4 linked regions of the Anolis sagrei genome follow. The protein of the gene in region 1 purifies or fractionates together with the protein of each later gene. This does not show direct contact. Links are inferred from orthologs where the notes say so. Each region holds a gene or a part of one and is shown in the gene's direction. Other genes may lie near its edges.

Region 1 (6,923 bases):
GAAATCATTCCGTGCCTGTAAATACAAAGCTCTGCCCTTGAGAAGGCCAAGATCATTGCCCCCAAGGTGAGTTAACAGCACATCAGGTGCAGGACCGCCTCCAGCCCGGACAACAAAGGGATCAAACCATCCCACCTGAGGCCTCTTTTGCCACTCCATTCAACAAAAGCAAAGGCAGCCATGCCCTGATGCTGCCGCTCGGTCCAATAGATAAAGCTGTGGCCACAAATCAACACCCTTCTTCTATGGACCAGCAAACCTCCATCTGAAAAGACAAAACACTGTTATAATAAGGCAACAGGGCGGACGTACCCTTTGTAGGCACCCGACCTCCATCTCCCCGGGCTTTTGATCCTGTCCTGATCCAAACTCATGTAGGCAGCCATGAAGGTAGCTCGCATATGAAAGGAAAAAGTTGCACAATAAAGGTGTCCCAGCCCCAACAATTTAAGGATTTTTAGAGTTTTGACCAAACTTTATAATATTGTCAGTGGGCAACTGCCCCGATGAATAAACAGGCATCCTAGCGAGCTGCCTAGGACTGCAATAAACTGAATAATAATGACCCTAAAAGGGGCAAATATCACCATCACAAGCGGTACCAAGGAAAATACTTAGCCCCGTGCTCCCAGATCTGTTTTAGATGACCCGAAGAGGATCCGTAATTGCTGCTCAGTAATGCAAATGTCAGACAACATCAGTGTTTTTGCGATAAATCACTTTACTGACTCTGGAATAAGCCCGCTTATTCAACCCGCTTTTATATATATATATATATATATATATATATATATATATATATATATATATCTCCACCACAATTAGTCTCCTTGTAATCGAAATAAGCAAGAACCCAGACCAATATTGAAAGGTGTAAATGGTCAACCACACCGCACCAGCAATTATTGCTCCCTTCACATTGGCCTGTCACTACAGCACTATTATTGATCTAACCACATCTGCCTGTCATTTCATCCCATGTATGTAACACAGTATCTATCGATCTACCCACATCACCCTGTCATTTCGCTACACATTTATCTACTATGTATGTATATAAACCACCATACATATTGATCTACTTATAACTGCATGTTTTACCATTCCCATAAGTAGCACCTATCAATGTACCCACATTGTCCTGCGTTATTATTATTAATATTGATAGTAATATCTTGCTAAACCTTAGCATAATTGACATTACCCTTTGCCATATCACGTCCCGTCTATATATATATCCATGTATATATATATATATATATATCTATATCTATATCTATATCTTTATACATATAGTGTAGAATCTTTATCACCTATCTATACATAACTCTTTCTCTCTCTCTCTCTCTCTCTCTCTCTCTATATATATATATATATATATATAAAGTATTAAATTACACAGATATACCGGACCCTAAGATGGCTGCCTGCCATGCTAGGCACAAAATGGATGCCCCCTTAAAGGATGCCCCCTCCATCTTTGAAGGAGAGGGAAAGTTTCTTCCCTGGGCAGAGGGAAATGTCCAGGAAGCAAGGTTGATATTTAGAGGACTTAGGTGGTTGTTCCAAAGACAATGGATGTACGGGCATGAAGACAACAGGATTATATAAATGCAGAGTGTAGGATACCAGGGACAATGGGTGATGATCTCTCAATTCTGTTCACAAGCTGGCCAAATAAAGAAATATCCAAGGGCATGGCTGGTTTACATCAACGGCTAGTTCCCAGACTGTGCACAGGAAGCTTATCTGCTGGGTGTGTATGTCCATAATACCTGGGTGCTTTGTCATGCCCATGGTGTAGCATGACATGCTTCTGATGAAGACATTGAGAGAACTGTGAGATGCTGGTTGCGGAAACAGAGCGTTGACTTCTTCTGTGACAGCTTCAGAAAACTTGTTTATTGTTGGCAGAAATGTATCCAATTGTCTGGTTATTATGTGGAAAAGTTAATAGTGGTAGTTAAAGAGCACATTCTAAGGATTAAAATATTCCTATCCAAACCCAAGTGATGAAGGTGGAGGCATTACTTTTCATTCAACCCTCATACATTTAATAGAAGAGGCTGCAATAATGTTTCTCTTTTGGATAGTTAGTTGCTGCACACATATACATCTCTGGATCAGTTGATATTGTGCATGATTAAATGAAATCCTGATGGACCCCTTTGTCTAGGACAGTGGTTCTCAACCTGTGGGTCCCCAGGTGTTTTGGCCTATAACTCCCGAGAAATCCCAGTTTACCAGCTGTTGGGATTGCTCTTTGATTGTTAGTGAATTATAAATCCCAGGAACTACAACTCCCAAATATCAAGATTCTATTTTCCCCAAACTCCACCAGTGTTCACATTTGGGCATATTGAGTATTCGTGTAGAGTTTGGTCCAGATCCATCATTGTTTGAGTTCACAGTGATCTCTGGATGTAGGTGAACTACAACTCCAAAACCAAAGGGCACTTGTCCAGCAAACCCTTCCAGTATTTTCTGTTGATCATGGGAGAACTGTGCGCCAAGTTTGGTTCAATTCCATCGTTGGTGGGGTTCAGAATGCTCTTTGATTGTAGATGAACTATAAATCCCAGCAACTACAACTCCCAAATGACAAAATCAATTTTTTTGAGTGAAGGACATGCATTGGGTTGTTAGGTATCTTGTGTCCAAATTTGGTGTCAGGTCATCCAGTGGTTTTTGAGTTCTTTTAATCCCACAAACGAACATTACATTTTTTATTTATATAGATAGAAGATTGTCTTGTTAATTTTATGTTTATGTTGTTTACTTTGTATGTTTTGATGATGTTACTTGGAAACCGCTCTGAGTCCCCTCGGGGAGACAGAAAGGTATATAAATAAAGTTTTGTTGTTGTTGTTATATATTCATACAAATAAACAGATAAGTCTTTCAGGATCTGAAATTTAGGGAGGTACCTATACTATAGAATCAATGCAGTTTGACACCACTTAAATGCAAGATACTCCACTTTGGCAGGAAAAACGAAATGCAAAGATACAAAATGGGGGACGATGCCTGGCTCGAGAGCAGTACGTGTGAAAAAGATCTTGGAGTCCTCCTCGTGGACAACAAGTTAAACATGAGCCAACAATGTGATGTGGCGGCAAAAAAAGCCAATGGGATTTTGGCCTGCATTAATAGGAGCATAGTGTCTAGATCTAGGGAAGTAATGCTGCCCCTCTATTCTGCTTTGGTTAGACCACTCCTGGAATATTGTGTCCAATTCTGGGCACCACAATTCAAGAGGGATATTGACAAGCTGGAGTGTGTCCAGAGGAGGGCGACTAAAATGATCAAGAGTCTGGAGAACAAGCCCTATGAGGAGTGGCTTAAGGAGCTGGGCATGTTTAGCCTGAAGAAGAGGAGGCTGAGAGGGGATATGATAGCCATGTATAAATATGTGAGAGGAAGCCACAGGGAGGAGGGAGCGAACTTGTTTTCTGCTTCCTTGGAGACTAGGACGCAATGGATCAGTGGCTTCAAACTACAAGAGAGGAGATTCCATCTGAACACGAGGAAGAACTTCCTGACTGTGAGAGCCGTTCAGCAGTGAAACTCTCTGCCCCGGAAGCTTCTTTGGAAGCTTTTAAACAGAGGCTGGATGGCCATCTGTCAGGGGTGATTTGAATGCAACATTCCTGCTTCTTGGTTGGACTGGATGGCCCAGGAGGTCTCTTCCAACTCTTTGCTATGACTCTATAACTGCCCTGCTCAATGTTATTGAATCAAGAGAGTTGTAATTGGGCACCAGCACCTTTTGCCAAGGAAAGTTCAAGACCTTGCAAAACTATACCTCCCAGGATTCCAGAGTCCCTCCTTCCACTCTCGCTTTGATTCCAAGGAACTACATTACCCAGCAGCCTCTGCGGCGGGGCGGGAAGTGGCGTCTGCCTGGAGCCACGTGTCCTCCCTCCCGCGGGGAAGCCTCTGAGCGCGGGCGATTTGGAGCCCGGTGGGCGGGGAGAGGGCGGTTGGGCCATGTCTTCCTTCCCAGCAGGGTCGGCCTGGCCCCAGAGCCTTGGCCCACTGAAAGTAAGTAAGTGGGAGCACGGAGGGAGGTGGCTGCGGGACTGGGGGCGCCCCTTGTACAATGGACAGAGCTGATCGCAGCACTACATAGAGACCCCAGGTTCCAGAAGCATTCTCTCCTGACGTTTCACCCACATCGATGGCAGGCATCCTCAGAGGTTACTGGGTCTGTTGCAAACTAGGCAAGTGAGGTTTATATATCCGTGGAGTGTCTAGGGTGGGAAACATAACTCTTGTCTGTTTCGGGCAAGTGTGAATATTAAAATTGACCACCTTGATTAGCACTGAATGACTCTGCAGCTTCAAAGTCTGGCTGGTTACTGCCTGGGGAAGGGATCCAGCTAACAACTCCCAATAAAGGATTCCCCCAGGCAGCAATCAGCCAGGCTTTGAAGCTGCAAGGCCATTAAATGGTAATCAAGGTGGCCAATTTCAACATTCATACTTGCCTCAAACAGACAAGAGTTATTTTTCCCACCCTAGACACTAAACTTCACTTGCCTAGTTTTCAACACACCTCACAACCTCTGAAGATGCCTGCCATAGATGTGGGCAAAATGTCAGGAGAGAATGCTTCATATTTTTTGTTTGTCTTGATTTTACATGCTGCCCGCTGCATTGAATCCTTAAGCACCCCCGGCAGATGTCCATCCAGCCTCTGCTTAAGAATCTCCACCTCATTCTGAGCGCCATATCCCACAGCTGAACAGCTCCTACTGTGTTTCAGTGCAAAAGGAGGCTTCAGAACATGTGCAGAATGCTTTCCTCTCTCCGCTGTAGTCATTGCTCATGTTTGGGGTCAGATCATGCCTGGGCAAACTTGGTTCCTCCAGGTGTTTTGGACTTTGACTCCCTCAATTCCCAACAGACCACTATGAACCCTACCAATGTCGGATCAGGACCCTACTTGGCACACAGAGCCCCCATGACCCACTGCACATCTTGGTGCGGTTTGAACCACGGATGATGGGACTTGCAGTACCTTCACTCACTTCTATGGGCCACTGCGACCCTCACAAATGACAGACCTGGACCAAACTTGGCACACAGAAGGCCCATGACCCTGGGGAAGTATGAGGGAGGACGGTCCACGTATGATGGGATTTGCAGTACCTTCACCCTATTCAGCTTCAACAAACCACTACGATCCCCACAAATGACTGTTAGGAATTGAAGTCCAAAACACCTGGAGGGCCCAAGTTTGCCCAGACATAGTATAGATCTGTGAGCATTGCATTACAACTCTGGGAACTAGCAATGGAAACTCACAGGGTTGCTTTGGATAAGTTTGAGAAGCACTGCTTATGGAAACTCTAAGGTGAACTTACCACAGGGTTTTCTGACGCAAAGGGTGTGTGACTTGACTTTGGTTCACCCAGACGGAGAGGAGATTTGAACCCTGGTCTCCAGAGTCATAGTCCAACACTCAAACCACTACACCAGGCTGATTCTCATTTATATAAATACTAGCCATCCCGTGCCACGCGTTGCTCTGGCCCAGTCTGTGTATATGTGCTTTGTGTGTGTATATATTTGTGTCTATGCGTATTTTTGTGTGTGTGTGTTTATATATGTGGTTTTCCACATGCATTGTAATGTATTTTTTTATTTTTTGGTTTTTTAAGTCTCTTGCTGTGTTTTTCAGTGTTTTTATGAGTGACGGTCACTTGTTGGCCTGATACGTGTATTGTGTCCGAATTTTGTGTTAGTTCGTCCAGTGATTTTTTAGTTATGTTAATCCCACAAACGAATATTACATTTTTATTTATAGAGATGTATTACATACGTATTTGTAAAGCACTTTGGGGCTTGGCCTGGGAGATACATATATAAATATACTATATAAATATACTAGTGATGTCCGGGTTAGGTCTTTTTAATGCTATTTATAAGAAATAGTCATTGTTTGCTTTTTAAATGAATGCTCTGATTAGAAACTGCATAAGGATGTGGGTTTCTATACCTGTAACTCCCAAAGTTCAAGGTAAATTCCCGCCAAACTCTGCCAATATTCAAAGCTGGCCATGTTGGGTTTACGTGCCAAGTTTGGTCCAAATCCATAGTCTGTTGGGTTCATAGTGTTCTCTGGATGTTGGTGAGCTATAGCTCTTGGCTTCCAGGGTCAATTCCCCTCCAAACTTTGCCAGTATTCCAAGTTGGTAATACTTCATATGTGTGCCGTGTTTGATTGAGATCCATCATCGGTTGGTTTCACAGTGCTCTCTGGATTTGGGTGAACTGTAACTCCCAACTTCATGGGTCAATTCCCCCCAAACCCTGCTAGTATTCAGAGTTGGCCATGATCCATCTTCAGTTGGGTTAAGAGTGCTGTTGATTGTTGGTGAACTACAACTCTCAACATCAGAGATCAATTCCTCCCAAACACCATAAGTATTTAAAGTTGGTTATTGGGAGGGTCTTTGTGTCTGGTTTGGTTCAGATCCATCATTGGTGGGGGCTACAATGCTCTCTGGAAGTGGGAGCCATCTTGGAAATTGCTCACAATCATAGATAGATAAATAAATAAATAAATAGATAGAGCCACCCATCCAAGCATATTTTCCCTTTTATTGTAGATACAGATATATAGATACATGTTATTCTTCTTTATAATGTTTATTTATACTCCATTTTTCTCTCTCTCCACAAGGAGACTCATATATACATACAAACAGATAAATGAATGAATAAAGTAATGAATGGATGGTGCTGGATCTACACTGCCATATAATGCAGTTTGAATCTGCATTATATGGTCAGTGTACAGTCATATAATGTAGTTTAACTGCACTGAACTGCTGTTGTTCATTCGTTCAGTCGCTTTCAACTCTTCGTGACCTCATGGACCAGCCCACGCCAGAGCTCCCTGTCGGCTGTGGCCA
Region 2 (7,853 bases), about 200 Mb from region 1:
GATTAGAGATTATTGTTTCTCCCAGGAAGTATGTTATCTAAGGCACACAGCCCACCAGGAACAGAAGTTTTAAGATATGATTTCAGCTAGTGATGTCAAGAAGCTTCCACACATTAACTTTCGTAAATTTTCTCTTGTTCCATCACCTGAATTTCTCTCACACATCTCTATTTAAAACAACAACAACATGCATTGTGATTAAGAATGCTTTTTTTGAGCACCTGGTTTTTTGTTTGCATCCTTCTCTGACTATGGAAATTCTGAAACAAACGTTTTAGGCTGACTTCTACTGTGGCCTGTGGACAGCTATAGCAGCCCACCACCATCCCTCTTTTTCTTATGAACACAAAGCAAAGAAACACTTGTTTCTCATAAGAGAATTTCATACTACTCCTTCATACACATACCAAATGCAAAATTCAATAGGTGTGGAGAGGCCACTGTATATGGCCACTGTCTAAAACTTTCGGAATTTGTTTAGAACTCCTGAAATTAACTTTCCTATTCTATAGGTCTAGTTCTGTATGAATTCTGCAATGAAGCATGACTCTGAAGAACTAAAATGAACTTTATCATAGGATGAAAGTTTAACTATTTTTACAAAAAGACATTATACATAGATCATAGAAAGTTTATTTTTTAAATGAAATCAGTGAATTGTTATGTTAATAATTTTATTTCTCAAGTTATGTTGATTGATGATTTACTGTGTTTGAATAGGCAAAGAGCATTTGCTCCACAGCCTCCAAAAATTCTTCCACAAACTGTTGGGTGTCATCTTTGATATTTATCACCATGTAAGCACTTTTGTTTATCCATTCAGTCACTTCCGACTCTTTGTGACCTCATGGACCAGTCCACACCAGAGCTCCCTGTCGGCCATCACCATCCTCAGCTCCTTCACAGTCAAGCCACTTCAAGGATACCATCCATCCATTTTGCCATTCGCCGGCCCCTCTTTCATTTTCCTTCCATTTTCCCCAGCATCATTGTCTTCTCCTGTTTTCTTATGATGTGGCCAAAGTACTTCAACTTTGGCTCCAACCCTAAGAACTGCAGTGCTACTTTCCATCCCCAAAATAGAGAACATGTATCATCATGTGTGCACAATCATGTTTTTTTTACTGCATCACATCCACAATCACAAGTCAGAACTGTTCTGTCAAACCAAGCCAATAATAAGTGCAGTAAATATAGTAGCAAGACCATCATCATTTGGAGCATTAGATTCTTCTAAAAGGATCCCTGTGAGCAGTCCAAGAAGCAGTCACCTGGCTAAAGTGTTAAACAGTTGAGCATTCCCTATCTGGAATCCCAAACTCAGTAGACTCTCTGTTAATTAACGGAAGCAACTAGAACTCCCAAATAGCAAAAGTTTGACTGCCATTTAATTAAAATTGCATACTGCATTCACAAAGCTGTTTTTATAATTAAGTAAAAGTGTGTTACCTTAAAATAAGTTTGCCTTTGTCTTACCTTGTTTCTAATTACTGTATTTCAATATTAATATCATGTCAACACTGAGTTTATAGTGTCGTATAATATTGTATATAGTATCAGGCCTATTTTAATAGTAACTCTCAAGCAACCAGAAACCATATTTATTCAGTGCTACCAATCTTCATAGGTGTCAATTAATTGAGTCCAATATTCAAAATTCCCCACATGGATAGCTGACATAGTGACACATTTGCTTTCTGATTATTCAACATAAACACACCTCATTTCATGCACAGTATTACTAAAAATGTAGTATAAAATTGCAGTGGGTCCTTCATATCCACTGGAGTGGATATGCACCTTGCCCCCACCCCCCAAACCCATGTATGCTCAAGTCCCATTAAACACATTCATGTAATGAAATGCTTTCCTGTATATAATATGGTAAAATCAAGGTTTGCTTTACAAAAACAAAAACAAAAAAAGGGGGGGGGCTGCTTTCAAGTCATGGATGACTGAATCTGTGGATACAGAGAGATGACTGTACCTTACACGATGTGTGCATGAAGCACACATTAATTTTGTGTTTTAGACTTAAATCCTATCTACAAAACAACTTATTATTATGTAAAAATATGGAAGTATAAGTATTCCAATGAGGGGATCCAAAATATCCAAGCATTTCTGATAAGGGATACTTGACTTGTACAAGATCTATAATTAGCACTTTTGCTACTAGTAGAGCAGTACCACTGAGAAGTCACAGCTTTGTGTCCCCTTTATGGCTCTCAGCACAAGTCTATACTTAGACATAATCTCCTTTAAACTCAATGGGATTTACTCAGGAATTGAAAATACACAATGCAACAACTGAGTGGCCACAATAACTTCAGCTGACTTCCAAAGAGAGTAGCAGTGAATGCCCAGGAAATTTGAAAAAGTACGCCAGTTATAATAATGATAATAATAACCTTTATTTATATGTTGCTTTTCTCCCACAATGAAGACCCAATGTTGTTTCCAACATTTTAAAATACAATACAAAATCAACCACTCTCAACATATAAACATTGTAAACAATCACATAGTACATAAACAAACCTTTAAAACAATATACATTGTTTTGTCCTGTTATATCTTATTGCATTAGTTCCCCTTATGTTACCTATTAGGGCAGTGGCTCCCAACCTTGTTTTGCCCCTGTCCCACCTAAGCATCTAAATTCCTGATTCCCCCCCCCCCCCCCCCCCGCCCTCGACATATAGTTCTGATTATTAAAAAAGTGAAATCCTATTTAGGTGGAGGAAACTTTAAAGGCCTTTTTATGAGTGATGGTCACTTGTTGGCCTGATAGGTGTGTTGTATCCACATTTGGTGTCAATCTGTCCAATGGTTTTTGAGTTATGTTAATCCCACAAACGGACATTACATTTTTATTTATATAGATTTACAGTATTTATATAACACTTTTCTCACCCCTGGGGGGACTCAAAGCAGTTTACAAAAAATAATGGCAAAATTCAATGCCTTACATACATAAACCAAATCATAAATCGAACAGCATATGCCTAAGCATAAAATGCAATACAACAAATTTGCCGTAAGATAATAGGACATTCAAGCACAAAGTATAAAAATTGAAAACACCTAATAAAAACATTAAAATCACATGATCCAAACTCGTAGACCAGGTCATTCCAGATTATTTAATGTATTTATATGCATTGTTTTATGATTTTTTTATTATTTTAATGCACAATGTATTTGTATGTTTTATGTTGTAATGCGGCACTGAATATTGCCAATTTGGAAGCTGCTCTGAAGCCCCTTCCACAGAACTGAATAAAACTCAACATTATCTGCTTTGAACTGGGATATAGGACAGTGTGGACTAAGATAACTCAGTTCAAAGCAGATATTCTAGGTTATATGGCTGTGTGGAAGGGTTCTGAGTCTCCTCTGGGGTTGAGATAGAGCAGGGATAAAAATGTAGTAAATAAATAAAGTCTTGAGTTTTCTCTGCCACACCATGCCACACCAAACTACAACTCCCATTGTATTGACCCATGGCAGTTAAAAGTGGTGTCAAACAGCATTCATTCTCAAGCAGGAATGGGCAGATTGTGAAATTGTGTGAGTTGAAATCCAAAACATCTAGAGGGTGAAAGTTTGCCCATGCTTGGTGTAAATGCTTCACGACAGAATAATAATAATAATAATAATAATAATAATAATAATAGCGACCATTAGAACAAATGCCATCAAAGCCAGGATTGAAAAGTCTATGACAGATCCCAAATGTAGACTCTGCAAGGAAGCAGATGAAACAGTAGATCACATCCTCAGCTGCTGCAAGAAGATTGTGCAGACCGACTACAAGCAGAGGCACAACACCGTTGCTCAGATGATTCATTGCAACCTGTGCCACAAACACCATCTGCCTGCGACAAAAAACTGGTGGGATCACAAGCCAGAAAAAGTTACAGAGAATGAACACATCAAACTCCTCTGGGACTTTCATATTCAGACAGAGTTTTGGAGCACACTACTCCTGACCTCAAAATCCTGTTAAAAAACAAAGTATGAATCGTTGATGTCGCAATCCCAGGCGACAGCAGGATTGAAGAGAAACAACTGGAAAAGCTGACATGATATGTGGACTCATCTTATTGTGTTTCTAATAATAATAATAATAATAATAATAATAATAATGGTATAATAATAATAATAATACATCACACAGTCCGAGACACTTGGGAGGTGTCCGACATGTGATCCAATACAACAGCCAGCAGAGTGATCTTGTTTGCTGTGGACTCATCTTATTGTGTTTCTAATAATAATAATAATAGTAATAATAATAACAACAATAATAATGAAGGAATAATAATAATAATAATAATAATAATAATAATACATCACACAGTCCTAGCCGCTTGGGAAGTATTTGACTTGTGATTTTGTGACACGAAATCCAGCATATAGATCTCGTTTGCTGTGACATACTGTTATTTTTGTGTCAGTAAAATAATAATGATAATAATAATAATAATAGTAAGCCCCCGTAGAGAAGCTCCAGCGCTGGAGAATCAACACCCACTCGAGGCCAGGGATTCCTGGGAGTTGCAGTTGTGTGAGGCGGCAAGACTTTGGGGCAGAGAAGGCGGGAGGCCTTGTCAAACTACAACTCCCGTGACTGTACAGCCTGGAGCCATGGCGGTGGAAGCTGAGGTCTCCCCTTGGCGTCCCCCGTTCCTCCTCCCTCGGGTGCCACTTACCCACTAGGCCGCGCCCGCTCCCTTCTCACTCGGGCGCCACGGAGACCGGCCGGCGTCGCTGACAACGGGCCGGAAGTCCTGGGCTCCACTTCCGGGGGCGGGGCTTCATCTCCCCGAGCCCGCCAACCAGGAGGACGCGGAAGCGGGAAAGGGAGAGAGAGGAAGAGAGAGAGAGGGAGAGAAGAGCCGGGCGAGGTGGTCCTCCTAAGAAGGTAAAAGGCGCGGAGCTGGGCATGTGCGTTTTGCTGGCTTTCGGGTTGCGCTTGGGAGAGGGCCTCTTGGCCTGGCTTAGGGCTACGCTACAGCAGGGATGCAGCATGGCACTCCTTTCATTGATATGGAGCAAAAGGAAAGGGCTTGTGGCTGTTCGGAATGGTGGCAGATGAAGTCCAAAACACCCGGAGAGAGGGCCCAAGTTGGCCCATGCCTGGTGTAGACGAAGAGTACAATAGCGTCCCTTATATATACAGAACCTGGCTTCCATATTATTCTGTAGTACAGCCAGGCCTGTAGCGAGGGGGGGATGGGGGGGGGGTTAGGGGTTCAACCCCCCCCCTCCCGAAATGTTTCAGATTTTTTTTTTTTTTAAAAACCCAGTTTACTCATGAATTTTAACTGGTTAACCAAATCCGCATGCTAAGTCTATGAGATGCAAAAAAATTAAGAGTCCCTCCAGAACTGCAAACACTATCTCAAGCCAATATTTATTTATTATTTACCTTATTTATTTATTTACCTTACTTATATACTGCTGTTCTCAGCCCGAAGGCAACTCACAGCGGTTCACAACAAATACGAACAGCAAAAATTCAGTGCTACAGTATAGAAACAGTTAACAACCTAACACATTACACAATTAATAAACAGTTACTACAATACCCATTCACTGTCGTCTCGTCATCAAAAACATGTTCCAGATTCGTCATCCATTGTTCCATTCCAATGTTCATTAACCAATCATTGCACTAATTATTGGAACGCCTGCTCAAACAGCCAGGTCTTCACTTTTTTGCGGAATACCATTAGAGATGGTGCTAGTCTAATGTCCGTAGGAAGGGCGTTCCACAGCCGATGAGCCACCACCAAGAAGGCCCTATCTCTCGTCCCCGCCAGCCGAGCTTGAGAAGCAGGCGGGATCAAGAGCAGGGTCTCCCTGGAAGATCTCAAAGTCCTGGTGGGTTCATAGGCAGAGATGCGGTCGGATAGGTAGCTTGGGCCCGAACCATTTAGGGCTTTAAAGGCCAACGCCAGCACTTTGAATTCAGCCCAGTAGCAGATCGGTAGCCAGTGGAGTTGGCACAACAGGGGGGTTGTATGTTCCCTGCGCTCCGCTCCTGTTAAAATCATGGCTGCCGAGCGTTGGACTAGTTGGAGCTTCCGAGCTGTCTTCAAAGGCAACCCCACGTAGAGAGCGTTGCAGTAGTCTAAACGGGATGTAACCAGAGCGTGGACTACTGTGGCCAAGTTATTCTAACTTATATGCCGCCACTCCCCTGGGGTTCGGAGCGGCTTACAAGAACAGGCTAAAATCAAACACAATTGAAAAACAATTTAAAACAATTTAAAAACAGCAATATCAGAGATCAAAGTCCCGTCGAAACAGATATGTCTTACATGCCCTGCGGAAAGCTGATAAGTCCCGCAAGGCACGGACTTCAGGTGGCAGAGTATTCCAGAGTGATGGTGCCACTGCTGTAAAGGCTCTGCGTCTGGTTGCTGTTAGACACAAGGTCTTGACACTGGGAATTTCCAATAGATCATGGTCCTCAGAACGGACGGATCTCTGGGGTTGGTAGGGGGTGAGGCGGTCCCTCAGGTACATCGGCCCCAGACCATGCAAGGCCTTAAATATTGACAATTTATTCACACTGTCATTACTTGCAGGAATAGCCGATGTAGTGAAGCAACCAAGTTGGTTGTGTGTGTGTTGAATGCTCTCATTAAGGAGGCCAGACTTGGTGGAGATGGTTGACAGGGGCGGAGCTGCAGGCTATTGAAGGCTGCTCTGCCCCTGTTGTGCTCTTTGCTTCAGCGTGAGCTAGAAGGCAGGTTTCAACACATACACCCCCCGCAAAATTTTCAACTTCCCTCCCCCAAAAATTTCAACCCATCCCGAATTTTTTTTCTGGCTACGGCCCTGAGTACAGCGGAAGGAATAGGTTTGTATTCACAAAAGATCGTGCTAAAATAAAATCAAGTTAGATTTAAGGGTGCTGCCACATTTCCTGTTCTCCCTCCTTCTTGTATTATGCTCCACATAAACATTAAAAAAACCAAGATTATGGCAACAAGAATGATTGACAACTGGAAAATAGAGGGAGAAAATGTGGAGGCCATGACAGACTTTGTATTTCTAGGTGCAAAGATTACTGCAGACGCAGACTGCGGCCAGGAAATCAGGAAACGCTTACTTCTTGGGAGGAGAGCAATGTCCAGTCTCGATAAAATAGTAAAGAGTAGAGACATCAGACTGGCAACAAAGATCCGCCTAGTCAAAGCCATGGTATTCCCTGTAGTAACCTACGGATGTGAGAGCTGAACCTTAGGAAAGGCTGAGCGAAGGAAGATCGATGCTTTTGAGCTGTGGTGTTGGAGGAAAGTTTAGAGAGTGCCTTGGACTGCGAGAAGATCCAACCAGTCCATCCTCCAGGAAATAAAGCCAGGCTGCTCATTGGAGGGAAGGATACTAGAGACAAAGTTGAAGTACTTTGGCCACATCATGAGGAGACAGCAAAGCCTAAGAAGACAATTATGCTGGGGAAAGTGGAAGGCAAAAGGAAGAGGGGCCGACCAAGGACAAGATGGATGGATGGCATCCTTGAAGTGACTGGACTGACCTTGAAGGAGCAGGGGGTGGTGACGGCCGACAGGGAGCTCTGGCGTGGGCTGGTCCATGAGGTTACGAAGAGTCAGAGAGGACTGAACGAATGAACAACAAACAGAGTTGGAAGAGACCTCATGGGTAGGGCCATAGCCAGAAAAAAAAAATCGGGGAGGGTTGAAACTTTTTTTTAGCAAATCATGAAGAGTAGTTCGATAACACAACAACATTTTTAATACAGTCCAAAGATCCTTATTGCTCCGTAAAAGGTAGAAGATACAAGGTATGCAAGGTTAGTAAGGCCAAAAATAGCC
Region 3 (7,209 bases), on another chromosome or scaffold:
TCTGGCACCACGAGATGCTGGGGATAGAAAGTGGAGTCCTCGACATGCGAGTGTGGAGAAGAATAAAACCACAGGCCACTTACTACCACTTACTACCATGCAGCCTGAGCCCTGCCACATGCACAGTGGAGTACCTTCTCACAGCAACACCAGAGGCACTCCAAGTGGCCAGATACTGGCCAAAGGAAATTTAGTATAATTCCAAGTTTTAATCTTTGTGGCTTTAAATACATTATACCTGCATTCTCAATTTGCTTCTCACACAACAAATATATATAAATATGCTACTTCAAAGCATTATTTCTAAAAATCACAAATAATAATAATAATAATAATAATACTTTATTTATACCCCGCCACCATCTCCCCAAGGGACTCGGAGCAGCTTACATGAGGCCAAGCCCAACAACACATCAATAAAACAAAAAGCAATAAACAAAAACAAAAAATACAATACAATTAATATAAATCATATATAAACATTGACCAGACTTGTATCCAAGTCTGGAGACAAAATAGAAGCCATAATAAAAGTGGAAGCTGGTAAAAGAAACTGCTGACGAATTTCGGTGCCAAACTGCATTCATCCCACAGTGCAGACGGGCCCCGGGTCCCTTCAAAGCAAGAGGGGCGCCTTCTCCCTTGCAGAAGCCCTCAAACAAGCTTGCAGCAAACTCAACCAGGCGGACACGTGAAGGTGGCGTGGGGACGGACGGGGCGACCCGACACTTGGAGGCCTGCGGGGCGGGCTCGAACTCGCGCCGGGGATACGGGAACTATTTGGGCCTGGAGGCAGCTGCGAGGAGATCTGCTGCATCTCGATGGCCTTCCCTACCTTGAGGGCCTCCAGGCGGTACCGCTGCGTGGAGGCCGGGTCCATCATCACCGTGACCGCCTTCACCAGCTGCTCGCAGAGGGTGTTCACGGGGTCCCAAGACATGGCGGCGAGGAGAGGGGCTCTATCCGGGGGGAGGCAAGAAGAAGGAGAAAGTAGGCCCCGTTGCCCCGGGCAACCAGGCACAGGGGGGGAGAACCCGAGAGCCACACCGCGCCGGGTACACAAGCCCAAAGGCAGCACTGCGCAGGCGCCAGCAGCCAAACTGTCTCCACTGAGCCTGCGCAAAGCACCGTCCACAACTTGGACGGCTCTGAGTTAGAAACGTAGAATTAGCCCAGTAGAATGCCTCACTCCGTTGATGACACGGAGCTTCCGGGTCCTGTCTACATTATTTTGGACTGGAGGCGGCCTTTGGAATGCGGTCAGAAATTTGGAGCAAAGAGCTGCAGTTACAAGTTGCGACCACCAGAGAGAGGTCGTGGCAATAGCTCCACGGGGTTTCAAGGCCAAAGTCAAAGCGTGGATACCACTATTCCACTATACAACTACATCTAATAATAATACAATATAATAATTATATATTTTACTAGCGGTCCCCTGCCACGCGTTGCTGTGGCCCAGTCTGTTGATCTGGAAAATAAAGTAACGAGAAAGTGTTGGTTTATAATATATGTAATGTCGTTCTGCTTGTGGGTAAACAGTATTTCTTCCTGTTTCTTTGTCAGTGTTGATGTGGAGATTGTCTGGTTTGCCAACTCTGGAATATGCAACATATCATTGTCCTTCTTTAGGGGTCCCTTTCAAATCTATGATACTGCATCTGTCATATACATATGTGTGTGTGTGTGGGAATGGCTGGATGGCCCTTTGTCAGGAGAGCTATGATTATGTTTTCTTGCCCTGGTGAAGGGAGTTGGAATGGATGGCCTTAAGGCAGCATTTCTCAACCTGGGAAATCAAGACCCCGGAGGGGGGTCACCAAGGGGGTGTCATAAAGGTCACCAAAGACCACCAGAAAACAGTATTTTCTGTTGGTCATGAGGATTCTGTGTGGGAAGTTTGCCCCAATTCTGTCGTTGGTGGGGTTCAGAATGCTCCTTGATTGTAGGGGAACTATAAATCCCAGTAACTACAACTCCCAAATGTCAAGGTCTATTTCCCCCAAACTCTATCTGTGTTTATATTTGGGCGTCTTCAGTATTCGTGCCAAGTTTGGTCCAGATCCATCATTGTTTGAGTCCACAGTGCTCTCAAGATGTAGGTGACCTCCAACTCCAAAACCCAAGGCCAATGCCCACCAACCCTTCTAGTGTTTTCTGTTGGTCAGGGGAGTCCTGTGTGCCAAGTTTGGTTCAATTCCATCGTTGGTGGAGTTCAGAATGCTCTTTGATTATAGGTGAACTATAAATCCCAGCAACTACAACTCCCAAATGACAAAATTATAATTTTTGAGTGATGGTCACTCCTTGTGTTGTGAGACATTTTGTTGCCAAATTTGGTGTGATTTCGTTCATTGGTTCTTTTATTTTTAAGGTACTCATTATGCACAGAGCATTTATATATATATAGATATTACATATAATATTACTAATAATATTATTATAGTACAGTGGTATAATACAATATAGTAATATATAATACTAATATTGTGCTGTGCTAATAATATCATATATGAACCTATGAACCATCATGGAGATTAAGATCCTCCAGGGAGGCCCTGCTTTCCGTCCCGCCATTGTCACAGGCACGATTGGTGGGGACGAGAGACAGGGTCTTTTCGGTGATTGCTCCCCGGCTATGGAACTCCCTTCACGCTTGCCTCTCGGTACCTATATCAGATAGGCACAAAATGATCCTTTAATATTCCCATTGCATATTCTCTTACAATTGGATTATTAAGCATTGTATTGTATTGTATGTGAATTTGTGTCCTAGCATTGAATATTTGCTGTGTATATGTCGTGCTCTGCCCTGAGTCCCCTTTGGCGTGAGAAGGGCGGAATATAAATGTTTTTAATAAATAATAAATAAATATTTTATACTCATATAATATTGATAGTATAATGTAATACAATATAATACTATTAATAATACAATTTAATAATTTTATATTCCATATTACATGTAATGTTACTAATATTACAGTATAGTGGTATAGTGTAATATAGTAATATATAATACTAATATTGTGTGATGCTAATAATATATTGTATGTACATATATTAATCCCTAAACAGCTCCGGCCCTATTTATCTGTCCGAATGGCTTCTCCCCTATGAACCATCAAGGTTGTTAAGATCTTCTGGAGGGGCCCTGCTCTCGGTCCCACCTCCTTCGCAATCATGTTTGGTGGGAACGAGGGACAGGGCCTTTTCGGTGGTGGCCCCTCGGCTCTGGAACTCCCTCCCGATGGAGATTAAATCTGCCTTTTCCCTCCTGACTTTTAGAAAGCTGGTAAAAACATGGCTTTGGGATAATGCATTTGCAGAATGATGACTGAGTCAATAACTGCTGACCTTTCTGGTGGATGGCGATGAATTTGTGATTCACTGTGACGAACTAACTTTTTTGTAACTTGTACGAATTGTATGAATTGTATTTTAATGTATTTTATATTGATGATGTATACTGTTTTTTCTTATTGTATTGAATCTTATGTTGTTAGCCGGCCTGAGTCCCTCCTCGGAGGTTGAGAAGACCGGGTTATAAAAACTCTAAATAAATAAATAAAATAACTTGTAAGCCACCCTGAGTCCCCTTCGGGTGAAAAGGGCGGCATAGAAATGTTGTAAATAAATAAATAATAAATAAACCTACACTGTGGAATTAATAGAGTTTGATATGACTTGAACTCCGACATCTTCCACACAGCTGTATAAAATCCACATTGAATTGGATTATATTGCAGTGTGGACTCAGATAATCCAGTCCAAACCAATATTGTGGATTATCTGCCGTGATATTTTGGGCTATATGGCTGTGTGCAAAGACCTTCCCATGGTCCAATCCTTTGGAATCCAGATCTCTCTTGGGAAACTATAGCTCCCACGAGTCTAAAGCATTAAGCCCCGGGAGTTAAAGACTGCATTGCTTCTTCGTTGTAGAATCAGCAAGAATCGCTTGTCTTCTTCCCACTTTCCTATGTTTATGTTGTATGTAGACAGTTTGGCGAAGAATATCTGCGTCACGAAAGAAACCAATATGACGTCATCACAGTTCCTCGACTACAGCGTGGTGGAACCCTGACATGTCCCTTCAAGACTCCATTTCCCAGCAGGCATTGCAGCGACGCCTTGATCCGTTTCTCTCCTTGCGTTCCAAGAGCGTGCGGAGCCACGCTGCAACCTGCGCGTTGCGTCACTTCCTTTTCTTCCCTCCCTTCCGCCTCTGAGGAGAAAGAAGGCGGGAATTCCACTCACTGAAGGAACTTTCTGAATCTTTTCCTGAGGATGTCTCGCGGGCGGGAGCGGGTGGTGGCGCTGGCCGACATGGATTGCTTCTACATCCAAGTGGAGCAGCGCCTGCAGCCCAGTCTGCGCGGGAAGCCCTGCGTCGTGGCCCAGTACAAGACCTGGAAGGGCGGCGGGTACGTGCCTCGGCTCCCTTGGGCAATGGGAGCAGGCATGGGCCGACTTGGGCCCTCCCTCCAGGTGTTTTGGACTTCAACTCCCACAATTCCTAACAGCCTACCGGCTGTTAGGAATTGTGGAAGTTGAAGTCCAAAACACCTGGAGGGAGGGCCCAAGTCGGCCCATGCCTAATTTAAAGCTCCTAGGTAGGAGCTGTTTGGCAGTGGAATATGCTGCCTCTGAGTTTGGTGGAGTGTCCTCTGGAGGTTTATAAGCAGAGATTGAATGGCCATCTGTCAAGACTGCTTTGAACGTATTTTCATCAAAAACTCATAAGAATCCATAGCAGATACACCCTTAGTCTCTGGAGCAGTGGAAACCAATCTCCAATAGGGTATCCTTTTCACATATTTAAACACGACTATCATAGAATCCAAGGGCAAGATGGATGGATGGCATCCTTGAAGTGACTGGACTGACCTTGAAGGAGCTGGGGGTGGTGACGGCCGACAGGGAGCTCTGGTGTGGGCTGGTCCATGAGGTCACGAAGCGTCGGAGACGACTGAACGAATGAACAACAACATCATAGAATCCTAGAGTTGGAAGAGACTTCATGGGCCATCCAGTCCAACCCCCTGCCAAGAAGCAGGAAAATTACATCCGAAGCACCCCTGACAGATGGCCATCCAGCCTCAGTTTAAAAGCTCCCAAAACAAGAGCCTCCACCACACTTCACGGCAGGGAGTTCCACAGTTGGACAACTCTCACAGGAAGTTATTCCTCATGTTAAGGTAGTTTCTTGTAGTTTGAAGCCATTGTTCCACGTCCTAGTTTGCTCCCTTCTCCCTATGACTTCCCTTATATATTTATACATGGCCGTCATGTCTCCTCTCAGCCTTCTCTTCTTCAGGCTAAACATACCCAGCTCTTTAAGCCACTCCTCATAGGGCTTGTTCTCCAGACCCCTGATCATTTTAGTCGTCGTCCTCTGAACACATTCCAGCTTGTCAACATTTCTTGTCAACGTACTGCTCTCAAGCCACGCGTCCCCCATTCTGTATCATTGCATTTCATTTTTTCTTCCTAAGTGGAGTATCTTGTATCTTGTTGAGCTTCATTTTGTTAGTTTTGGCCCATCTCTCTAATCTGTTAAGATCGTTTTGAATTCTGCTCCTGTATTCTGGAGTAACCTTCATTTATCCAGGCTTCACTTCCCCCAGAAGCTCCTCATGGGGCATTTGTTTGACAGTACTCAGCCCTTAGGCTGACAGTCTAATACTGATACACAAGGAAAGGGGGTGGCAGTGTGGGAGGGCATAAAACCCAGTAGTTGCTGCATCCCCTTTTCTTTCTGTGTCAAATTCAGAATAATTGCTGTGAGCTATGAAGCACGTGCTTTTGGAGTTACCAGGAACATGTGGGCTGTTGATGCCAAGAAGCTGTGCCCAGATCTCCTGGTGGCTCGAGTGCCAGAGGCCCATGGTAAAGCAGACCTCACCAGGTAAGTCTAGTTGTTATAGCTTCTCTTGGATGGTATTAACTTAGGTAGCAGCCTGTAATGAAAGGACCAAGGCAATGACATCTCTGGCCCATTCTCTGTTCGGATATCAGCCAGCATGCCAAGCCTTAAATCAAGAAATAGCTTCCTAAGATTTATAGAGGTACTTGCAGTAACACCTCAGCAAGCAAGAGTACAAAAGTCACAGGTAAAAACCCAGAACCTCAATCAGTGGCTGACCAAATGAGAAACTTCCTCCTGTGCAGACAGAAGATTGGGCGACTTGGAAGACACTGAACAGACTTGCGCTCTGGCACCATGAGATGCAAAGCCAGTCTTAAGAAATGGGGCTACTAAGTGGAGTGCATTGCCATGCGAGCGTGGAGAAGAGCAAACACAGGCCACTTACTACAATTCAGTCAGTCTGAGCCTGCTACATGCACAGTGGAGGACCTTCTTAAAGTGACACCTGAGTCACTGGAAGTGCCCAGCTTCTGGTCAAAGGAAATTTAGTATAATGCTAAGTTTTTAACTTTGTGGGTTTTTTTATACATTATAACTATATTCTCAGTTCATTTCTGACACGATAAATATAAATAAATCTGATGTGGATTGTGAAATAATCTGGAGTAAAAACTAGTTTGAGAAGGAAGTTGATCAATGCTGCTCTTTCGTGCTCTGAGTATGAGGTGGTTTTTACGAAGCATGTTTAGCTGTTATTCATAACTAGGATATAATGCATGTTGTCTGGCTTTAACTGAGCAATATCCTAGGATTCAAAAATTTATCTCCCAGTGTGTTCTTTTAAATAGTGTATTGGACTTATTCTAGTTTATTCAATCCTTATTCATTATCTTAGTATACTTGGCAGTTGATGAGGGGAAAGTGCTGTCGTTTTGGAGAGTATTGAAGCTCTAACACACACACACACACACACATATATATCTCATTTTCTAGTGGTTGACTGCTTAATAATAATCCAATTGTAAGAGAATGTGCAACAGGAATATTAAAGGATCATTTTGTGCCTATCTGATATAGGTACCGAGAGGCAAGCGTGGAAGTGATGGAAGTCATGTCTCGCTTTGCTGTGATTGAGCGAGCCAGCATTGATGAGGCCTATATGGACTTAACTAGTGCTGTACATGAAAGGCTTCAAAAGATGAAGGGACAATCTATTGAAGCAGAACAATTGGCCACTACCTATGTTGAAGGATTCCCAGACAACTTTGCATTAGAAGAGACTGCAGATAATAAAGGTATTCCATAGCTTCAGACGTGGTATTCCATTGCTCTGCTTTGCC
Region 4 (6,964 bases), on another chromosome or scaffold:
TGCGTGGAGCGCCGTTACCTTCCCGCTGGAGCAGTACCTATTGATCTACTCACATTTGCATGTTTTCAAACTGCTAGATTGGCAGAAGTTGGGGCTGAAAGCGGAAGCTCACGCCGCTCCCCGGATTCAAACCTACGACCTTTCAGTCAACAAGCTCAGCAGCTCAGTGGTTTAACCCACTGCACCACCGGGGCTCCAACACCTATTCCTTGCCAATTCTTATAGGTTCCTGTGTCCTATCCTAACTAATATTTGAAGGCAAACATTGTTATATTACCTTTTTCTAATATCAAAGTGCATAGGGATCAAGGACCTTATTTGAAAAATCCTGAAAATATGATTCTACTCTTAGAACAAAGTCACAAGGAGGTTGTGGATGGAAATTTAGATTATGAATCCTGATAATGTTGCGGCTGATAGGAGAGATAATACCAAGAGCGATCCTTTTGAGAGGCAGAAAAGTACGTTTTTATTTTCAGCTGAGACCCTGGTATGGAATCTCCTCCAAGAGCAAACCTGAGTGAGGATAAAGGCATTGACTTCCCTTTCATACATCTTCAAATGCAGGCAAACAAAGAAACGTGCTTCTACATATGTAACATCATCACTACATCACCTTAAGCATCATAGAAATATCAATTTATATCTTTTTACATGCATGGGGCATCTCAGTTTTTTCTATCTAAGGAGCAGCTTACAGCAAATTAGAGATACTAGGGTTCAGCTACAGATCCATCAAGGTGCCTTCTTTTGACCTTACAGGAGGGAGAGAAACAGCACCACTTCTTACTTTTTAGAAGTAAGAAGGTACAGCCAGTGCTAAGCTGTACCAGTTTCTGGAATGTATAGATAATGACCCCCCTTTTCCTCCCCTTTCAACACAGATCTACGTCAGCATTCTTTCTGTGCTGTCAGCTTGACTTCCTAATACAGAGAACTTGATTTTTCTACATTTCAGTGTTTCTAATGTACATAAAATATATGTATAAATATCTATATTTCCAATATCTCCACATCAGTGAGACTAATGAAACAGTTACAGACTAGGTAGCTAACCTCACAAAGCATGGATATATAACTGGGATTGGAAGAGGCCATATAAATGTAGAAACAGAGTTGGGAGAGACCACATGGGCCATCCAGTCCAATCCCCTGCCAAGCAGGAAAAGAACAATCAAAGCACACCTGACAGATGGCCATCCAGCCTCTTTTAAAAGCCTCCAAAGAAGGAGCCTCCACCACACTCCAAGGCAGGGATTTCACTGTTGAACAGCTCTTATAGTCAGGAAGTTCTTCCTAATGTTTCAGCTGAATATCCTTTCCTGTAATTTGCACCCATTGCTCCATTGAGTCAGTCTCCAGGGCAGCAGCAAACAAGCCTGCTCCCTCTTTCTTGTGACATCCATTCAGATATTTAAACATGGCTATCATGCCTCCTCTCGAACTTCTCTTCTGGATGCTAAACATGTCCAACTCTTTAAGCCGCTCCTTGTATGGATTCATGGTCTCCAGCTGACTGGCACAACCTAGGGATCACAATCAGATACAGTGAAGACATCTCCCTTGCACTTTGCTACTCTGCTGCTGAGTATGCATGCCCAGTGTGGAACACATCTCACCATAATAAAACAGTAAATGTGGCTCTTAATGAGACATGCTGCATTATCACAGGGTGTCTGTGCCCTACACCACTGGAGAAATTACAGTGTTTAGCTGGTATTGCACCACCTGACATCTGCTGGGAAGTAGCAACCAGTAGTGAAAGGACCAAAGCATTGATATCTCCGGCCCATCCCATTTGGATATCAGCCAGCACGCCAACGACTTAAATCAAGAAATAGTTTTCTAAGATCTACAGAGACACTCGCTGGAACACCTCAGCAAGCAAGAGTCCAAAAGTGGCAGGCACAAACCCAGAACCTCAATCAATGGCTGATACCAAATGAGAGACTCCCCCCTGGGCACACAAAAAACTGGGCAACTTGGAAGGCGCTCTGGCACCACGAGATGCAGAGCCAACCTTAAGAAATGGGGCCATAAAGTGGAGTCCACGACATGCGAGTGTGGAGAAGAGCAAACCACAGACCACCTACTACAATGTAACCTGAGCCCTGCCACATGCACAATGGAGGACCTTCTTGCAGCAACACCAGAGGCACTCCAAGTGGCCAGCTACTGGTCAAAGGACATTTAATAGAATGCCAAGTTTGCAAACTTTGTGGTTTTTTGAAAAAATACAACTGTTTGGTTCGCTCCTGAGACACGATAAATAAACAACAGGAGTTGAGGTTTTTTTACAATGTCTGTAGCCTTCCCTGCCAGAGAATGTTGTGTCTTGTTGTTGTTCATTCGTTCAGTGGTTTCTGACTCCTCGTGACTTCATGGGCCAGTCCACGCCAGAGCTTCCTGTCGGTCGTCACCACCCCCAGCTCCTTCAAGGTCAAGCTAGTCACTTCAAGGACACCATCCATCCATCTTGCCCTTGGTCGGCCCCTCTTCCTTTTTCCTTCCATTTTCCCCAGCATCAGTCTTCTCTAAGCTTTCCTTTCTTCTCATGATGTGGCCAAAGTACTTCATCTTGGCCTCTACTATTCTTCCCTCCAATGAGCAGTCAGGCTTTATTTCCTGAAGTAAGGACTGGTTGGATCTTCTTGCTGTCCAAGGCACTCTCAGAACTTTTCTCCAACACCACAGTTCAATTCTCAGGATTCCACCTCATTTTTATTTGTCGTGTCAGGACAACCAGTCAAATTATATTACATTTCTAACAGAACAAAGCAAACAAACAGACAAAATACAAAATGTGTGAGTTTGGTAGTTGATTAAATGTCCTTTGACCAGTAGCTGGCCACTTGGAGTGCTTCTGGTGTTGCTGCAAGAAGGTCCTCCATTGTGCATGTGGCAGGGCTCAGGTTGCATTGCAGCAGGTGGTCAGTGGTTTGCTCCTCTCCACACTCGCATGTCAAGGATTCCACTTTGTAGCCCCATTTCTGAAGGTTGGCTCTGCATCTCCTGGTGCCAGAGTGCAGCCTGTTTGGTGCCTTCCAAGTCGCCCAGTCTTCTGTGTGCCCAGGGGGGAGTCTCTCATTTGGTATCAGCCATTGGTTGAGGTCCTGGGTTTGAGCCTGCCATTTTTGGACTCTTGCTTGCTGAGGTGTTCCAGCGAGTGTCTCTGTAGATCTTAGAAAACTATTTCTAGATTTAAGTCATTGAGGTGCTGGCTGATACCCAAACAGGGAATGAGCTGGAGATGTCTCTGCCTTGGTCCTTTCACTATTGGCTGCCACTTCCCGGCGCATGTCAGGTGGTGCGATACCAGCTAGACTGTGTAATTTCTCCAGTGGTGTAGGGCGCAGACACCCCGTGATAATGTGGCATGTCTCATTAAGAGCCACATCCACTGTTTTAGTGTGGTGAGATGTGTCTGGGCATGCATACTCAGCAGCATGCATACTGAGTTGGAACACCTCACTTGCTGAGGTGTTCCAGCGAGTGTCTCTGTAGATCTTAGAAAATCTAGATTTAAGTGGTTGACGTGCTGGCTGATACCCAAACAGGGGATGAGCTGGAGATGTCTCTGCCTTGGTCCTTTCATTGAGCCTTGGCAGTTAAAGTGGCGTCAAACTGCATTAACACTCCAAGTCAGATGTGCCTGCTTCAGCCGTTATTCCAACAGCTTTTAAAAGGCTCATCCTCCGCGCGCTTTCCAGCCAGCCAATCAGAAGCGACGCGAGCCGAAGGCGCCAAGGAGCGGCCTTTTGAAGCCAATTCCCTTTCCTCCCTCTTCTGAGGGAAAAACAGGACGGCTTGAGGTCACAAGACAGGAGGCTCTGAACCGCCTCTGCGCCAACAACCAATAGGAACAGCGCTTCTGTTTCTACTCCCGCCTCAAGTGGTGACATCAGCCTATAGAAAAGAAGCCCTCCCCTGAGCGCAACCAATAGCGGCCCTTCTTCCTTCCGAAGCCCTTTGCTCCGCTCCTTTGCGCGATGGAGTGCGGAAGGCGCGGGGGTTTCGTTTCCTCTCAGCCGGAACCCTGAGGTTTCCTCAAAAGGCGGCGACGTCGGGGGCTATGACGCAGAATCTTAGCAACGGCGCCGGCGAGGGGGGAAAGGGCAGCGACCCTGACCGCTCTCCCCTGAGCACCGCCGGGCGCCATTGCCGAACGGCGGGCCGAGAAGGCAAGGCTGGCAGGTAAACACAAGAGGTGTGGTTTCCCATGCAACGCCCTTGTTTGCACAATCTAGGCAGCCTTTCCTCACTTTTGTACCACTTTGAACTGCCAGGGAAGCTTGCTAGGCGATCCTAGGGCCTGTAGTTTGGGGATCAGCTTTCTCTGGCAGAGAAGGCTGAAGAGCATCCGAAACTACAACTCCCATTATTCCATAGCATTAAGCCATGGCAGTAAAAGTGGTGTCAAAGTGTATTCTAAATTACAAACCTCAGCTGTTGATGCAGCCACGCAAAGCAAAGGTTAGTCTTCTCTGCCAGGAAGCTCTGCTGTAATTCCATGGTTCAAAGTCGTGCCAAATCACAGTAGACTCTCAGTTAACTGGAACTCTCAAGCAACAGGAAACCTCTACGTCCCACCTTGGAGTCTAAGATCTTCTGGGGAGGCGCTGCTCTCGACCCCGCCTCTATCACAAGTGAGGTTGGCAGGGACAAGGAGCAGGGGCTTCTCGGTGGTGGCCCCCCGCCTGTGGAATTCACTCCCCGGGGAAATTAGATCAGCGACATGCCTCCTGTCCTTTAGGAAAAAATTGAAAACATGGATTTGGGACCAGGCATTAGGACAATCTGGCAGATAAAGAAAGGACTTTGACGATGGACAGGAATTGACTAATGGAATGGAATTATGGAACTCTGAAAGACGAACGCTGAGCATGAGATTAGTTTTATTGATGTGTTATATACCGACTGTTTTAACTGTGATAATTGTTTTAACTATGGTTTTGTACATTATGTGTATTTTGTGTAGGCATCGAATTGTGCCTTTTTGTAAGCCGCCCTGAGTCCCCCCTCGGGGGTTGAGAAGGGTGGGGTAGAAGTACTTTAAATAAATAAATAAATAAATATGGCTTGTTGTAGGTTTTTTCGGGCTATACGGCCATGTTCTAGAGGCATTCTCTTCTGACGTTTCACCTGCATCCTCAGAGGTAGTGAGGTACCTCTGAGGATGCTTGCCATAAATGCAGGCAAAACGTCAGAAGAGAATGCCTCTAGAACATGGCCATACCTCTGAGGATGCTTGCCATAGATGCAGGCGAAACGTCAGGAGAGAATGCCTCTAGAACATGGCCATATAGCCCGAAAAAACCTACAACAACCCAGTGATTCCAGCCATGAAAGCTTTCGACAATAACAGGAAACTATCTTTATCCAGCATCTACCTATTGTTGAGAGCCCCCGGTGGCGCAGCAGATTAAACTGCTTTTTGTGTGTGTGCCAGGAGCGATCCGAGAAACCGCACGTAGCTTCTGGTGTGAGAGAATTGGCCGTCTGCAAGGATGTTGCATAGGAGACTCCAAGATGTTTTACCATCCTTGTGGGAGGCTTCTCTCATGTCCCAACATGGGGAGCTGGAGTTGACAGAGGGAGCTCATCCGCGTTCTCCCAGGATTTGAACCTGTGGCCTGTCGGTCTTCAGTCCTGCTGACACAAGGGTTTAACTCACTGTGCCACCACTGAGCTGCTGAACTTGCTGACCGAAAGTTTGGCGGTTCGAATCCAGGGAGTGGAGTGAGCTCCTGTTGCTAGCCCCAGCTTCTGCCAACCTACCAGTTCGAAAACATGTAAGTGCTCCATGCAGTCATGCCGGCCACATGACCTTGACGCGTCTATTGACAATGCTGGCTCTTTGGCTTAAAAACTGAGATGAGCACCACCCTCCAGAATCAGACACGACTGGACTTAATGCCAGGGGAAAACTTTACATTTTCACCAATTGTTATTAACTTTTTATATCATGGTTTCCCTGAAAATAAGACACTGTCTTGTATTTATTTTTCCTCAAGACACACTATGGCTCATTTTCAGGGTATGTCTTATTTTTTATTAAATACTAGCCATCCCCTGCCACGCATTGCTGTGGCCCTGTCTGTTGATCTGGAAAATAAAGTAATGAGAAAGTGTTGGTTTCTAATATATGTAATTTCTTTATGCTTGTGGGTAAACAGTATTTCTTGCTGTTTCTTTGTCAGTGTTGATGTGGAGAGTGTCTGGTTTGCCCACCCTGGAACATGCAACATATCATTGTCCTTCTTCAGGAGTCTCTTTCAAATCTCTGATACTATATCTGTGTGTGTGTGAATCATATCTATCTACCTATCTATGGCTGGATGGCTCTTCGTCAGGAGGACTTTGATTACGTTTTCTTGCCCTGATGAAGGGAGTTGGATTGGATGGCCTTAAGTATTTTCTGTTGGTCATGAGGGTTCTGTGTGAGAAGTTTGCCCCGATTCTGTCGTTTGTGGGGTTCAGCATGCTCTTTGATTGTAGGTGAACTGTGAATCCCAGTGACTACAACTCCCAAATGTCAAGGTCTATTTCCCCCAAACTCCATCTGTGTTCATATTTGGACGTATCGAGTGCTTGTGCCAAGTTTGGTCCAGATCCATTATTGTTTGAGTCCACGGTGCTCTCTGGATGTAGGTGAACTACAAGTCCCAAACTCAAGGTCAATGCCCACCAAAACCTTCCAGTATTTTCTGTTGGTCATGGGAGTTCTGTGTGCCAAGTTTGGTTCAATTCCATCGTTGATGGAGTTCAGAATGCTCTTTGATTGTAGGTGAACTATAAATCCCAGCAACTACAACTCCCAAATGACAAAATCATAATTTTTTGAGTGATGGTCACTCTTTGTGTTGTGACACATTTTGTTGTCAAATTTGGTGTGATTTCATTCATTGGTTCTTTTGTTTTTATGGTAGTCATTATGCACAGAGCATTTTTATATATATATAGA

What was found.
Region 2: the proteins of RAD18 (region 1) and SLF1 purify together in Homo sapiens (affinity purification with mass spectrometry; 4 studies listed by BioGRID and IntAct, with this or other methods). This does not show direct contact. The link is inferred for Anolis sagrei from reciprocal best matches to the Homo sapiens genes RAD18 and SLF1.
Region 3: the proteins of RAD18 (region 1) and POLH purify together in Homo sapiens (affinity purification with western blotting; 7 studies listed by BioGRID, with this or other methods). This does not show direct contact. The link is inferred for Anolis sagrei from reciprocal best matches to the Homo sapiens genes RAD18 and POLH.
Region 4: the proteins of RAD18 (region 1) and SLF2 purify together in Homo sapiens (affinity purification with mass spectrometry; 3 studies listed by BioGRID and IntAct, with this or other methods). This does not show direct contact. The link is inferred for Anolis sagrei from reciprocal best matches to the Homo sapiens genes RAD18 and SLF2.

Annotation. Positions count from the first base shown.
Region 1 is NC_090022.1:49,336,101-49,343,023, reverse strand, and holds the start of RAD18 (E3 ubiquitin-protein ligase RAD18), read left to right. Parts: upstream 1-3,918; 5' UTR 3,919-3,990; coding exon 3,991-4,044; intron 4,045-6,923. UniProt on the Homo sapiens protein: E3 ubiquitin-protein ligase involved in postreplication repair of UV-damaged DNA. Postreplication repair functions in gap-filling of a daughter strand on replication of damaged DNA.
Region 2 is NC_090022.1:253,906,445-253,914,297, reverse strand, and holds the start of SLF1 (SMC5-SMC6 complex localization factor protein 1), read left to right. Parts: upstream 1-4,845; 5' UTR 4,846-4,930; intron 4,931-7,853. UniProt on the Homo sapiens protein: Plays a role in the DNA damage response (DDR) pathway by regulating postreplication repair of UV-damaged DNA and genomic stability maintenance.
Region 3 is NC_090021.1:49,690,859-49,698,067, reverse strand, and holds the start of POLH (DNA polymerase eta), read left to right. Parts: upstream 1-4,195; 5' UTR 4,196-4,287; coding exon 4,288-4,424; intron 4,425-5,773; coding exon 5,774-5,908; intron 5,909-6,946; coding exon 6,947-7,164; intron 7,165-7,209. Other genes in the region: XPO5 (exportin-5), read right to left, coding at 836-940. UniProt on the Homo sapiens protein: DNA polymerase specifically involved in the DNA repair by translesion synthesis (TLS). Due to low processivity on both damaged and normal DNA, cooperates with the heterotetrameric (REV3L, REV7, POLD2 and POLD3) POLZ complex for complete bypass of DNA lesions.
Region 4 is NC_090023.1:215,161,739-215,168,702, forward strand, and holds the start of SLF2 (SMC5-SMC6 complex localization factor protein 2), read left to right. Parts: upstream 1-3,941; 5' UTR 3,942-4,072; coding exon 4,073-4,194; intron 4,195-6,964. UniProt on the Homo sapiens protein: Plays a role in the DNA damage response (DDR) pathway by regulating postreplication repair of UV-damaged DNA and genomic stability maintenance.